2 linked regions of the Drosophila melanogaster genome follow. The protein of the gene in region 1 interacts with the protein of each later gene in a pairwise test. Each region holds a gene or a part of one and is shown in the gene's direction. Other genes may lie near its edges. The genes, in order: CG6664 and CG6398.

The links.
Region 2: the proteins of CG6664 (region 1) and CG6398 interact in a two-hybrid assay, tested with the Drosophila melanogaster proteins (one large-scale study listed by BioGRID).

The regions. Positions count from the first base shown.
Region 1 is NT_037436.4:17,012,208-17,018,058, reverse strand, and holds CG6664 (uncharacterized protein), read left to right. Parts: upstream 1-1,878; 5' UTR 1,879-2,316; exon of another isoform or gene 2,317-2,386; intron 2,387-2,792; exon of another isoform or gene 2,793-2,800; 5' UTR 2,801-2,802; coding exon 2,803-2,918; intron 2,919-2,981; coding exon 2,982-3,072; intron 3,073-3,154; coding exon 3,155-4,066; intron 4,067-4,129; coding exon 4,130-4,609; 3' UTR 4,610-5,173; downstream 5,174-5,851. Other genes in the region: CG7728 (uncharacterized protein), read right to left, coding at 1-1,420.
Region 2 is NC_004354.4:17,828,613-17,833,858, forward strand, and holds the start of CG6398 (uncharacterized protein), read left to right. Parts: upstream 1-2,215; 5' UTR 2,216-2,708; coding exon 2,709-2,834; intron 2,835-5,246.

The DNA.
Region 1 (5,851 bases):
CAGCATCCTCCTCCTCCTCACTGTTCTCCCCACGCCAATCGTCCGCATCGAACTCATCCTGCTGCTCCTCCTCACTGTCAGCGGCATCCAGACCAGAGTCCTCTCCATCGTCATCCTCATTCTCACTACTTTCCGCCTCTTCATCCTCCTCTTCGTCGTCTTGATCATTGCGGAAGTCCTTGGACTTGATGGGCTTGGCATCTGAGAATAGACGGAACTCCTGCTGTTCCATCTGTTCATCAATGGTGGCCTTCTTATCGATCAGCTTGTTCACCAGCTCCGCCTGCTCGGCAGCCTCAGCGGTCTGCTCCTGTTCCTTGTGCGAGTGCGATCCCTGTAGCTCAATGTAGACAGCATCCTTGTCGTAAACAATGCCACCGACTCCGGACATGGGTGCATACAGTAATCGCTCTTTCTCCAGCAAACTTCGCTTCTTTTCCGTCCCAGGCAGGGGGCAAGGATCGGGAATGACGTTTAACTCGTCGATGCGGGCATCCCCCAGGCCAGCTATGTGCACCATGTGTTCTTGCTTGAGAGGAACTCCTCGGACATAGCCATAGAGTACTACCTCGCGATCGCACTTAGGATCTCGGCGCACGCGATCTGTGTTTGTCACATCCTCGATGCGGTCTACCAGCAGATAACTATGTGCACCTCGCCACTGCAGCGGGCGAAACTTCATCACAGAGATAAATCGTCCCAGGTTTTTGACTTCGTTCCGGAGGTACTCGCCGTGAAGAAGTCCAGAAAGGTAGAATAGCTTGGCGCCATCGTAGACTTCCGTCCAAAAGCGGTGCTTCAGTTCCTTCTTTCGTTTCCTCAGCTGCTTGGGGTTCTTGATCATGTCCAGGTGGGTAAGTACGCCCATTATCTTGGGCATGCCGTGCACCTGGCAGATGTTCAGGAACTCAAAGATCTCCATTTCGAAGCCGTAGCTTGCGTCGCAGAGCAGCAGCACCAGATCGGCGCATTTGGCCACATCGATCATGGAGTTCACATCGTTGTTGCACTCCAGCAGGGTAATCCGGCGCTTCTTGGAGGTCACAATAGTAATGGGACCCTTTATATCGGTGACATTCGTCCGCGTAAAGCTTTTAATTAGGTCCTTGATCAGCGTTGTCTTTCCCACTTTGGGTGGTCCCACCACGGCAATCAGTACGGGTGGCGGTACGTTCGGAGTTTGATCGACAACCGGAATATGCTGCTTCTTGGCCGTAAGGTCCTCCTTGCGCCGGAAGTTCCTCTCTGCTCGCTGCGCCGAGTTGATGGCGAACGCCTTGGGATTCCTCTGCCTGGCGGTCAACTCGGGCTCCTTCTGGTTGGAGTCCTTCTTGGCCTTCAGCTTTTTCTTGTCCGCCTTCACGCCGGACTGGCGGGCGCGGTGCTGCTTTCGCTTGTCCTGGCCGGCATCGTCGGCCATTGTTACAGCCTTTAAATATATTAAATTATTAAATTATCCGCTGTTTGCGCGCTGCACGTGGAGCCAGTGTTGCCAGATTATGAAACAGCCCCAAATCAATTGGTTTCATCCAGCCCTGAATACATATCGTAAATAAATAGTACGATAGACTGACTATATTTTGTTTGTTGCGGCCTACGAAATCTATTGAGTAAAGTAATGGTTTTGAACGTATTATTTATTTCAGCATATGTTATACGCTACTAGGAATCATAAGCACTTTGTTTGTAACACGTATAAGCGTAACCAAAATCGCAATCGTCAAACTCATGAAAAATGGTATACAAATCAGAAACGTTTAAAACACAAATTAAGAAATAATTTATTTAGTAATGACCGTTTTTAAGTAAAATGTCAAATAATACACATTTCGACTTCCACCTTACAACGACAAGAAAGAAACTTACAAAATTAACGTATCTGTCTATTTTCTGATATATTTTGATAAAATTGTAATACAATTTTTGAATAGCATAATTGTATTGTTTTCCACCTCTACTGGTATTTCCTCAAGTGTCATCACTACCTCGCGGCGTTTCGCTGTGAGCGCTTTTTCGGTATTTCGCCACATATACGGTCACACTTCTGCACTGTGGATTTTTCGCAATTTGACTTTAATTTTATTCGATCGGATCGGGCAAAATGTACCGCACTCAGATCTGCAGGCCCTAAGCAGACGCCTAAGGTTCAACTCTACTCCGTTCGCAGCTGCATCCTTTCACCTGCGCAGGTGAAACGCAAGAACGGCAACCAGAGCCCTGGTGAAACAGAGTCGGCGAAGGAGTGTTCAAGAGGGGGGAGGAGCAGTGCGGCGGAAGGCAAAAGTCTTTTAAGGCGAAACAGCGCACAAAAGCCAGGTAACCAAAGATAGAATCTGGAAAATCGGACATTTTCAGCCGGTTGAAAGGGGGAGGCGTAATCCCACATGTGAGTTGGAAGTCACTGGCAGTGGTGGGCTGTGGGTGGTGGTGGTGGCGATGGCGATGGCCTGCCAGCCTGTGCAAACCCTTCCTTCGCCGACCTTGCCCTTCTATCGATTTCCGAAAAATTGCATCAAGCCAGATGCACAGAAAATCACAGCTGAAGGTTAAACTTTTGCATCGGATCAGGGCCAAAACCAAACACCACCACCGACCGATTTCTTTATTCTTTGTTCCTCACGGGGCGCAGACGAATTCAAGAATAAAGAACAGCCAGTCGCCACATATATATGTACTCATGCACATATGTATAATATATATGTGCTTAAAAAGCGACTGGCATACATTATTTCTCGTCATACATATATGTATATGCTCAAAAAACGTAATGGCACTGGGCCATTTACCTTTAGTTTTGCAGGCATGGAAAGTCCCTGTGAATCCGAAAGTTCGCTGGACGGTGGCACCATGCTGCCACCAAGCCCAGTTTCCCGGGAGCAACTCCAGAAGAGGATCGAATCGCTCACCCAGCAGAACAAGTAAGTCAGACACTATTTTTAAAATGCATTTTTACCACAAATAATATGACTCTACGCTTCTAGGGTGCTGAAAGCCGAACTGGATACCTTCAAGACCAAGTGCAAAGTGGTGCAAGAGGAGAATCGCTGCCTCAAGCAAGCCTCAGTCATCATTGTTAGTACTACTTTTATGTTATATCAAATTGAAATTGAGTTTCACAAAAGTTGCCTCAATTTACCTTTGTTTACTTTCACAGCAAGCCAAAGCCGAGCAGGAGGAAGAATACATCTCAAACACGCTGCTAAAAAAGATTCAGGCCCTCAAAAAGGAGAAGGAGACTCTGGCGCACCACTACGAGCGCGAGGAGGAGTGTCTGACCAACGATCTCTCCCGGAAGCTCGACCAGCTGCGTCAGGAGAAGTGCAAGCTGGAGCAGACACTTGAGCAGGAGCAGGAGTGCCTCGTCAACAAGCTTATGCGCAAGATTGAGAAGCTCCAGGCGGAGACGGACAACAAGCAGACCAATCTCGAGCAGCTGCGCCGCGAAATGGTCGAGTTGGAGAACACGCTTGAGCAGGAACAGGAAGCTCTTGTAAACAAGCTGTGGAAGCGCATGGACAAGCTGGAGACCGAGAAGCGTTCGCTGCAAATCAAGCTGGATCAGCCGGTTTCCGATCCGACTACGCCGCGAGACATCACAAACAACGCCCATGCCAATGGTGGCGATACGGCCACCAGTTTGAGTGCTCATATCCAGATTCTGCGCTCCGAAGTGCTTCGCTATCGCTCCGACCTGGCGAGCGCTCAGAAGGAAGCCACTATCAAAACACAGCAGTATGCGCAGGAAGAGAAGTCGATTCGCGAGGAAAACGCTCGCCTTCAGCGCAAGCTAAAGCAGGAGGTGGAGCGCCGCGAAGCCCTATGCCGGCACCTCTCCGAATCGGAATCCTCGCTGGAGATGGACGAGGAACGCTTCTACAACGAGAACCTGATGGGAGGCGGTTCGTTCGCTGTAGCGACGGCAGCAGCCGCCGCCGCAGCTTCAGCGGTGAGCGCCCAACGTCAACGCACCATCAGCAGTCCCGTCTCCCACAGTCCCTCGAGTAGCCGACCTCTAAGTCCGGGCACGGCGGTGCAAAACCGCTGCTATGCCTGCGGCCAGCTAGTGGTGAGTACGATATTGTGAAATGTTGCTTTCCAGATTTGTAAAATTAAAAATTCTTCGTTTCAGAATCGTCGTGCCAGCGAACGCTTCATAAAGCCAGCACTGCCAACGCCCATGCTGGGCCTGAACACTTCCGCACCGAACGTGCTGACCTCAACCAACCCACTGCTGGGCATTTTGGGAACCGGCAGCTCCTCATCGTCCGCGTCCGTATCAGCTGGGAATGCCGCTGGCGGCTTTCTCTCGAATCTGGGAGGCGAACGCCTAAGCCTTGGCTCGTCAAATTCGGCTGGCGGCAGTGCCACCTTCTTGGCCGGCGGTGGAGGTGGAGGTCTGCTGGCCCAGCTCACTAGCCACTCCAGCGCTTCGTCGTCGTCGTCCAATTTGATGAACATCAGCCTGAACAACTCGTCCAGCGGCAATCTTGTTAACAGCAGCAGCAACTCCTCACTGTCGGCGTTTACGCCAACCAATCCGCCCAGCTCGGCGGCCACGGCCTTTATCCAGCCAGCCAGTCCAATGGACACGTCCACCTGCAAGGACTAGGAGGATGCAGTAGCTCTCGCACAGGGATACAGAAAAATCATGACTTATTCACACACTTTCACACGAAAACACACTATATTCATAAACACGCACGCATGCAAGCAACCAGTTTAACGATCCTAAAAACATAAGAAAACACAGAAACAAAAGATGAGAAAGTAACTATCGTAAGCTTCTCCAGGGCGACTCAAAGTCGCCACATTTATATATGGTTAATATGTATATGTATGTTCTATTTGATCAAAATCTCTTAAAACCTTTCAATAACGGAATTCCTAGGCGAACGAATATTTAGCGCTAATGTTTAAGATTTGAATGTTTTTCTAATTTCGCTCGGTTCCAGTTAAAGTTAAGTAAAACACAGCTAATAATGAGATATGGAGGATATAGAGGATGAGAATGAGGATGGACAGCACACGCTAACCAGATCGTATGAATTTATAAAAAGGGTGAATTCTATTCATGTCGAAACCATTTTCCCACAATTCCTTCGCATGTGGGCCTAAAAAATTTTGAAGTATGTTTATGTAAGCCAACAAAAATAAAGTTCAACAATTTAAAATTAAATAAAAATTCGTCCAGAATTTTTTTAAATTAAATTTTGTTTAAATTCGAGGTGCAAGGTTTTCAAAATTGTAGAAAGTACAACTGTAGACACTACAATATATGAATTGTAAACATCATCTGATAGGTTTTTTTAAAATATGTTTTCAGAAATAACATTTTTTTCTTTTGACGAACCACAAGAACAAGAATTTTCGAATTTCCGTTAAATGCACGACAAATGGTGGGGCAACACTTAAAGTATCCCCTAAAACTGCCTTCATACTTCTGCCACTTGGCGTGCACACACTGGCGCGCAGCTGCAGCTAACTTCGCGTTGCAAAATGCTCTTGTGTTGTTTGTGTTTGTGATTGTAAATAAAGGCCAAACAGTCAGCGCGAAGCGTTAAGACCAAAGACTAACCTTTGGGCCAGGCCAAAAAGCGGAGTGTAACACCTCGAGCGAGAGCAAACAAAGCCGCAAAGTGTTCAATTAAAATAAGTGACTTGACTTTGATCTGAGAACCGAGAGAAAGACGGTGAAATAGGTGGGCAGGAAGTGGGAAGTCAATGATAAATGACAACAAAAAAGTGTGTATTGGCCAAAAGAAGCTCGCATTGGTAGCAACGACAGAAAACCATTTACACACACTCAAACAAACAAACACAGATGGTGCTCTTTAAACGCTGCTGCCGCTCT
Region 2 (5,246 bases), on another chromosome or scaffold:
GCGGCCCGTCAAATATTTAATAATTTGTGCTAAACTGTGAATTAACTGCCGGACGGCATGCATAACGCACAATGCTGGTTGCCACCACCTCGGGTAACTGAAACAAAAAAATTGAAAACTAAAAACTGACAACTGAACACTGAAAAAAGTGACAACAAGTCGGGACAGCACAACAACCACAACAACAAACTGCGACGTTGTGGAATTCCATCGGAATGCAAAAAGAAAACGAATTATATGAGCAGTGTGAGAGAGAGAGGGAGAGGGGTAATGGGGCGCAGAAAGAGACAGACTGACTGACAGTCAGACACTCGAGGGGCCAAAAACTTTTGGCCAGCAATTGAGAACTGAACTCAACTGGCCAACATGCCAATGCGATCCGATTACAAACATTGCTTTATAAGTGCACGGCTATTCTTGTTGTTATTTAGGTAATTCTGGTATTTCCACACTCACACATACGACACTTACAATGCCCGTCAATATGGTAGTTTCCAATTTTGTTACATTTTGCCAGAGAATAACTAATTAACATGGTACATTTAAAGCGTACGTCTTTAAAATTTGGGAATTTCATGGTCTAGAACTAATATAATCAATGTGTATCACGTTAAAGATGAAAAATAGGACAAAATAATAGCAAAGCGTATCCAATTTATACATTTAAAAATGAATCAAACAGCACCTCTTTAGGGTATTAAATTCTTTCAGTTTTTAGGCGATTTTCTATATGCATATTTCTTAATTTCTTAAACGCTGCTATCTCTCTGCCCGCCACTGTGCTTTTGCTGCTGCAGTCGAGAGCGCGCCCAAAAATGCAATTGAGAAAAACCCACGCCATAAACAGAAACCCAAAATAGACAAAGGCATTAAAGCCGATGAAAATCAACAACAACAACAGCAAGTAGACGCAGCGAGATGCCAATGCCGCACAAACACAAACACCTATCTCTATATGGATATGTCCGTACACGAGATGTCTGTGTGTATATATTTTTTACCTGCGCAGTCGCAGCATCTTTGGGTCAATTGCACACTGCGAGAAATCGGCTGCGCCCTGATTAGCAGCGGGCGGTGGAAAAGGCCGAACTAATCGCACTCATGTGGGCGGAATTTCAGATTAGGCATTTGAATATACAAAAAATTCTCGCCCCAGAAGTTAATGACTCTCTATCAGCTGGACGCATTGTTCTTACAAGTCGATTTTCAAATGAACCATTTTAGATATAGGCAAATTCATGCATGTTTATTCAGGCTCAAAAACAAAACCGTTTAAATGGGTGTGCAGGCAATGATATTGACGTGTCAAATAATGATATTCACATTCCGCAGAAACTCCAATTATGATCCTTCAGTGTAATGGGTATTTGTTTTTAGGAGCCTGATTCCAATATCTTGCTAATAAAATATGTGGCTCAGTTTTGACAGAGTTACGATCTGGCGTGGCATAACTGCGATACGGTCGAGATATGGGAGCACCAGCACACCCCTTCGAACGCCCCCTTCGAGTTCCAGCCCACCGCCTACGCCCATGTGGCTGTGTGCCTCGCGTCCTACCTTCCTGCCCAGTGGGACTGGGACTCCATTGCACAGGCAGCACCGCATACCAAATACCAAACAAACATACGAAAAGATCAACAGGCTGCTGCTTTGTTGTTGTTTGCCTTTCGTATACCCTAACAAAAGGTTACTAGCTCTTATATATCTAACGTTATTTCTGCAAATCTCAACTGGGCATATGTGTTTACGGGATATCATGATTTGCCTTGTCTATCATCGCGTTTTGTTATCTGGATTATCCAGTGTTGGGTTTTGTAGATGCGTTAACATAAAGTCACAATTAACACAAATCTTACGTTATCGAATATGAAAATCTGAAACTTCGTACATAAATGTATAATGAGCTTATGAAAGATCATATCAAGTTCGCCTCAAATTGGCAGAGATATAAGCATTCTGTGAGGGTATTCCATGGTTCGTTTGCCGAAACAGTCTCTCCTTTCTTGTTTTTGCTTTATCCAGCAGGTAGAAGAGGCACCGTCTCCTTGCCTCCTGCTCCTAACTCTCCTCCCCCCTCAGTCCGGTTGCATTGCAAAGCGCTCAAATGAAACGCCGACTGAGACGCCGACTGCGACTTGAGACTATGGGTATGGGTATGGGTATGGTATATGGGTATTTGGTATTACCTGAAGTCTGGCTCAGTCGCCGACGATTTTCAGTCCGCTGGCGAACGTTGTTGCGATCACAACGTCTTGGCTATCAGTTCTCCGTCTCTTTGCTGCCCAGATTCAGATTCTCAGTTCTCCGTTCTCAATTCTCCAGCTCAGATTCTTCGCCGGCGTGCGTGTGTGTGTGTGTAGTGTTGTGAGCGTGTGCAGTGGAGCCCGTGTCAGTGTGTTAGTGCTGGCCCGTTGCTAAAATTATTATTTTTTTTAACGAACGTTGGCTTTTTTTTTGCTGTGCCTTCCAAACTGGTTGCTGCTCTTTTAACTGTGTATTTGTGCAGCAGCAGTAGCAGTTCAAGAAGAAGCGGCAGAATCTAGCTGCGGAAGAAGAAGACGTCGAAGACGCTAGAGATCACGAAACGAAAGAAAAATAATAGCAACTGTAGTTGTTGTTTTCTTCTCGGGGATTTTCGTTGGATAAATCCCGTATCATAGCCCCAAAATAGCTGAGATTTCGAAACAGATCCGGAATAAAACACCAGCATGCCCTGCTCGGCCGTAACCCTATCTATAGCGACGATCTGCGCGATCATCGCCACCGCCCTGCTGGCGATCGCCTTCTCCACGGATAATTGGCTGCACTACGATGTCTGGCGCAACCAGATACAGGTGAGTCTTCAATCTGCAGTCTACAGTGTCTTTAGTCTTCAGTGCCAGAGAAGGTGGGGGCTACGAATCGAATTAACCCAAGGCCCATCCGCTTGGAATACATAATCAGCTAAGGCCAGAGCCAGCGCCACCGAAATATACGGTGCATCTGCGACTGCGTGGCAGAAGCCACAGCCAGAGACAGAGTTACAACCAAAGCCGAAGACTCTCCCGCTTAAGACGGAGCTTTAGCTCCGCTTACGAGCTCTGCACATTGGTCCCAGAGATGTGGCTAAAGTAGATCCAGGCTGGGATTAGGCAATAGCTTAAGAAATCGGAAAAGATCGGGTTCAAAGTCGTGCAAGACAACGATATAATGGTACGATACAATGGAAATATTTAAAATGGGTAGGGAAATTGAAAATATCCTAATTTAGGCCCTACTTATACAATAGATATTAGTTGTTGAAAATAACTTGCTAGAGTTTAGGACTTCGTCTTCTGGAAAGTATAGCAGAGTACTATATTATATTATTAAATATATTTTGAAAATAAGTGGCTTCATTTCACAAATGCCATTGGAAGCATAGTAAATAAATACGATAAGGATTAAAGTTTTCATACTTAATTAATATTAAAACCGGAACGAATATCTCCATAATTTCCAAGGAATTAAGCCCGTTCGACTATGTCCAGAGAATAATGTGTATTATATTTTACTAATAATAGTAGGAGACATTTAGTTCTACAAACATCTTTGCATATCTTTTAAAATCCGTCCTCTTCCGAGAATCTTATCTATAGCGATGCTTAGATAAACAAGATATGTAATTAAGATGCACTTGCTGACATTTGTGCACTGCATACAGGTGTGCGCGGCCCACTGTGCGGAGTAGGAGGGCGAGAAAAAAGAAGCAGGAGGAGGAGTAGGTGAAAAGGGAGGAGAGGAGCGGAGAGGCAACCACGAAGGCAACAGCAACAAACGGAGGTAACAGTAACAGTCGCTCGTTTTGTGCTTGGCCGAAAGAAAAAGAAAAAGGGCAAGGCGGAGAAGAAGAAAGGTCGAAAGCAAATACACGAACAACTGGCATTGGAAGGAGGTGGGTAGGGAAGAAGGGAGGGAGTGGTGCGGTGTTGATCGAGAGGGGCCTGTGGAGGATGGGCAACGGCCGTTAACGTTCAAACTTTCTACGCGAGCGCTTAGCCAAGCGAAAAAACGAAGAAGAGCCCAGGCAGAAGAGGCCGCAGAAAAAGAAGAAAGGGGCGGTGAAGTGGAAGGAGTACACAATTTTACAGTTTGCATTGCAAATACAGTCAAACTGCGGATTACAACACTTCCCATTCTTCCAAGTAATCTAATTTTCAATTTTATGTTGGTTACTTCACTATTTATGAAATACAACTAGCTAACTGAAATCTCAGTTATAATCCGCCTCTTAAAGGGCCGAAAGCAATCGCAGCATATGTGTGTTTTAATTTCTTTCAAATAAGCAGCAGTTTGTCTTAATGAAGTGGCACTGTAGAAAATCCAACTCCGTCTTGTAGGTGCAGCCGAGAGAATTTTAGATGCGGAGAGCTCTATAGAAATAGGTGTAAAATCGCGGCGGTGTGCGTGCGCATACCAATCATACCAAAACAAGTTAGCTAAACAAAAAAAAAAACAATAAAAAACAAAGCTGAAGAAGAGGAAGAAAAGCACTCAAAGTGTGCTGAAAATATTTGCACGTTTTTCGACTTTGTCGCCTAATCCGAAAGTTTCAATGGAATCGAGGGAACGATAATTGCGGTGAGATTCGTTCGAATCTCGCCCAGCGTCGAAGTCTTCAGAGCCTGGGCACTTATAAAGCCATTAGAAGCAATCGTCTGCCTTGACCTCCCCCATTTTGGGTCATCGCTCCCTTCTCCCCATCCACGTTTCTTGTTCCTCCTCCTCCTCCACCTCCATCTCCTCCATCTCCATATCTCCGTTCTCCTTCGATTTCCGCCCCTGTAAGAGCCTTTGAAGAACCGCTCAGGTGCAGCAGGTAACTCGAGATGGGCTACTTGGCCACAGGAAACCCTAGGGTCCTATGAAGTGCATCCCCAGGGGAGTGGAGAACTAAATACCCACAGCGATTATGAGCGCTACTCAAAGAATGGGAATCCGGGGGAGTCAGTCGAGGGAATCATGATGATGGTGTCAGAATATCATCACTTCCAACCTTTCTTTAGCTAATTACAGATGTTTTCTTCGAAAGAAGTCAAATGGAAACTATTATGGTGGAAAAGGAAGCTCTGTGTTGTTACTTTCCTTTAAATACCCCTATATCTTATATTATCTTTAATTGTATGTCTTGTTGGTATATGTACATTAGATTGCATACTGTTTAGAGTTTAATTCTTCCTTTTCTTAGCCTGCAGGCTGCCCTTTTCCTTGAATTTTCCAGATCTTCG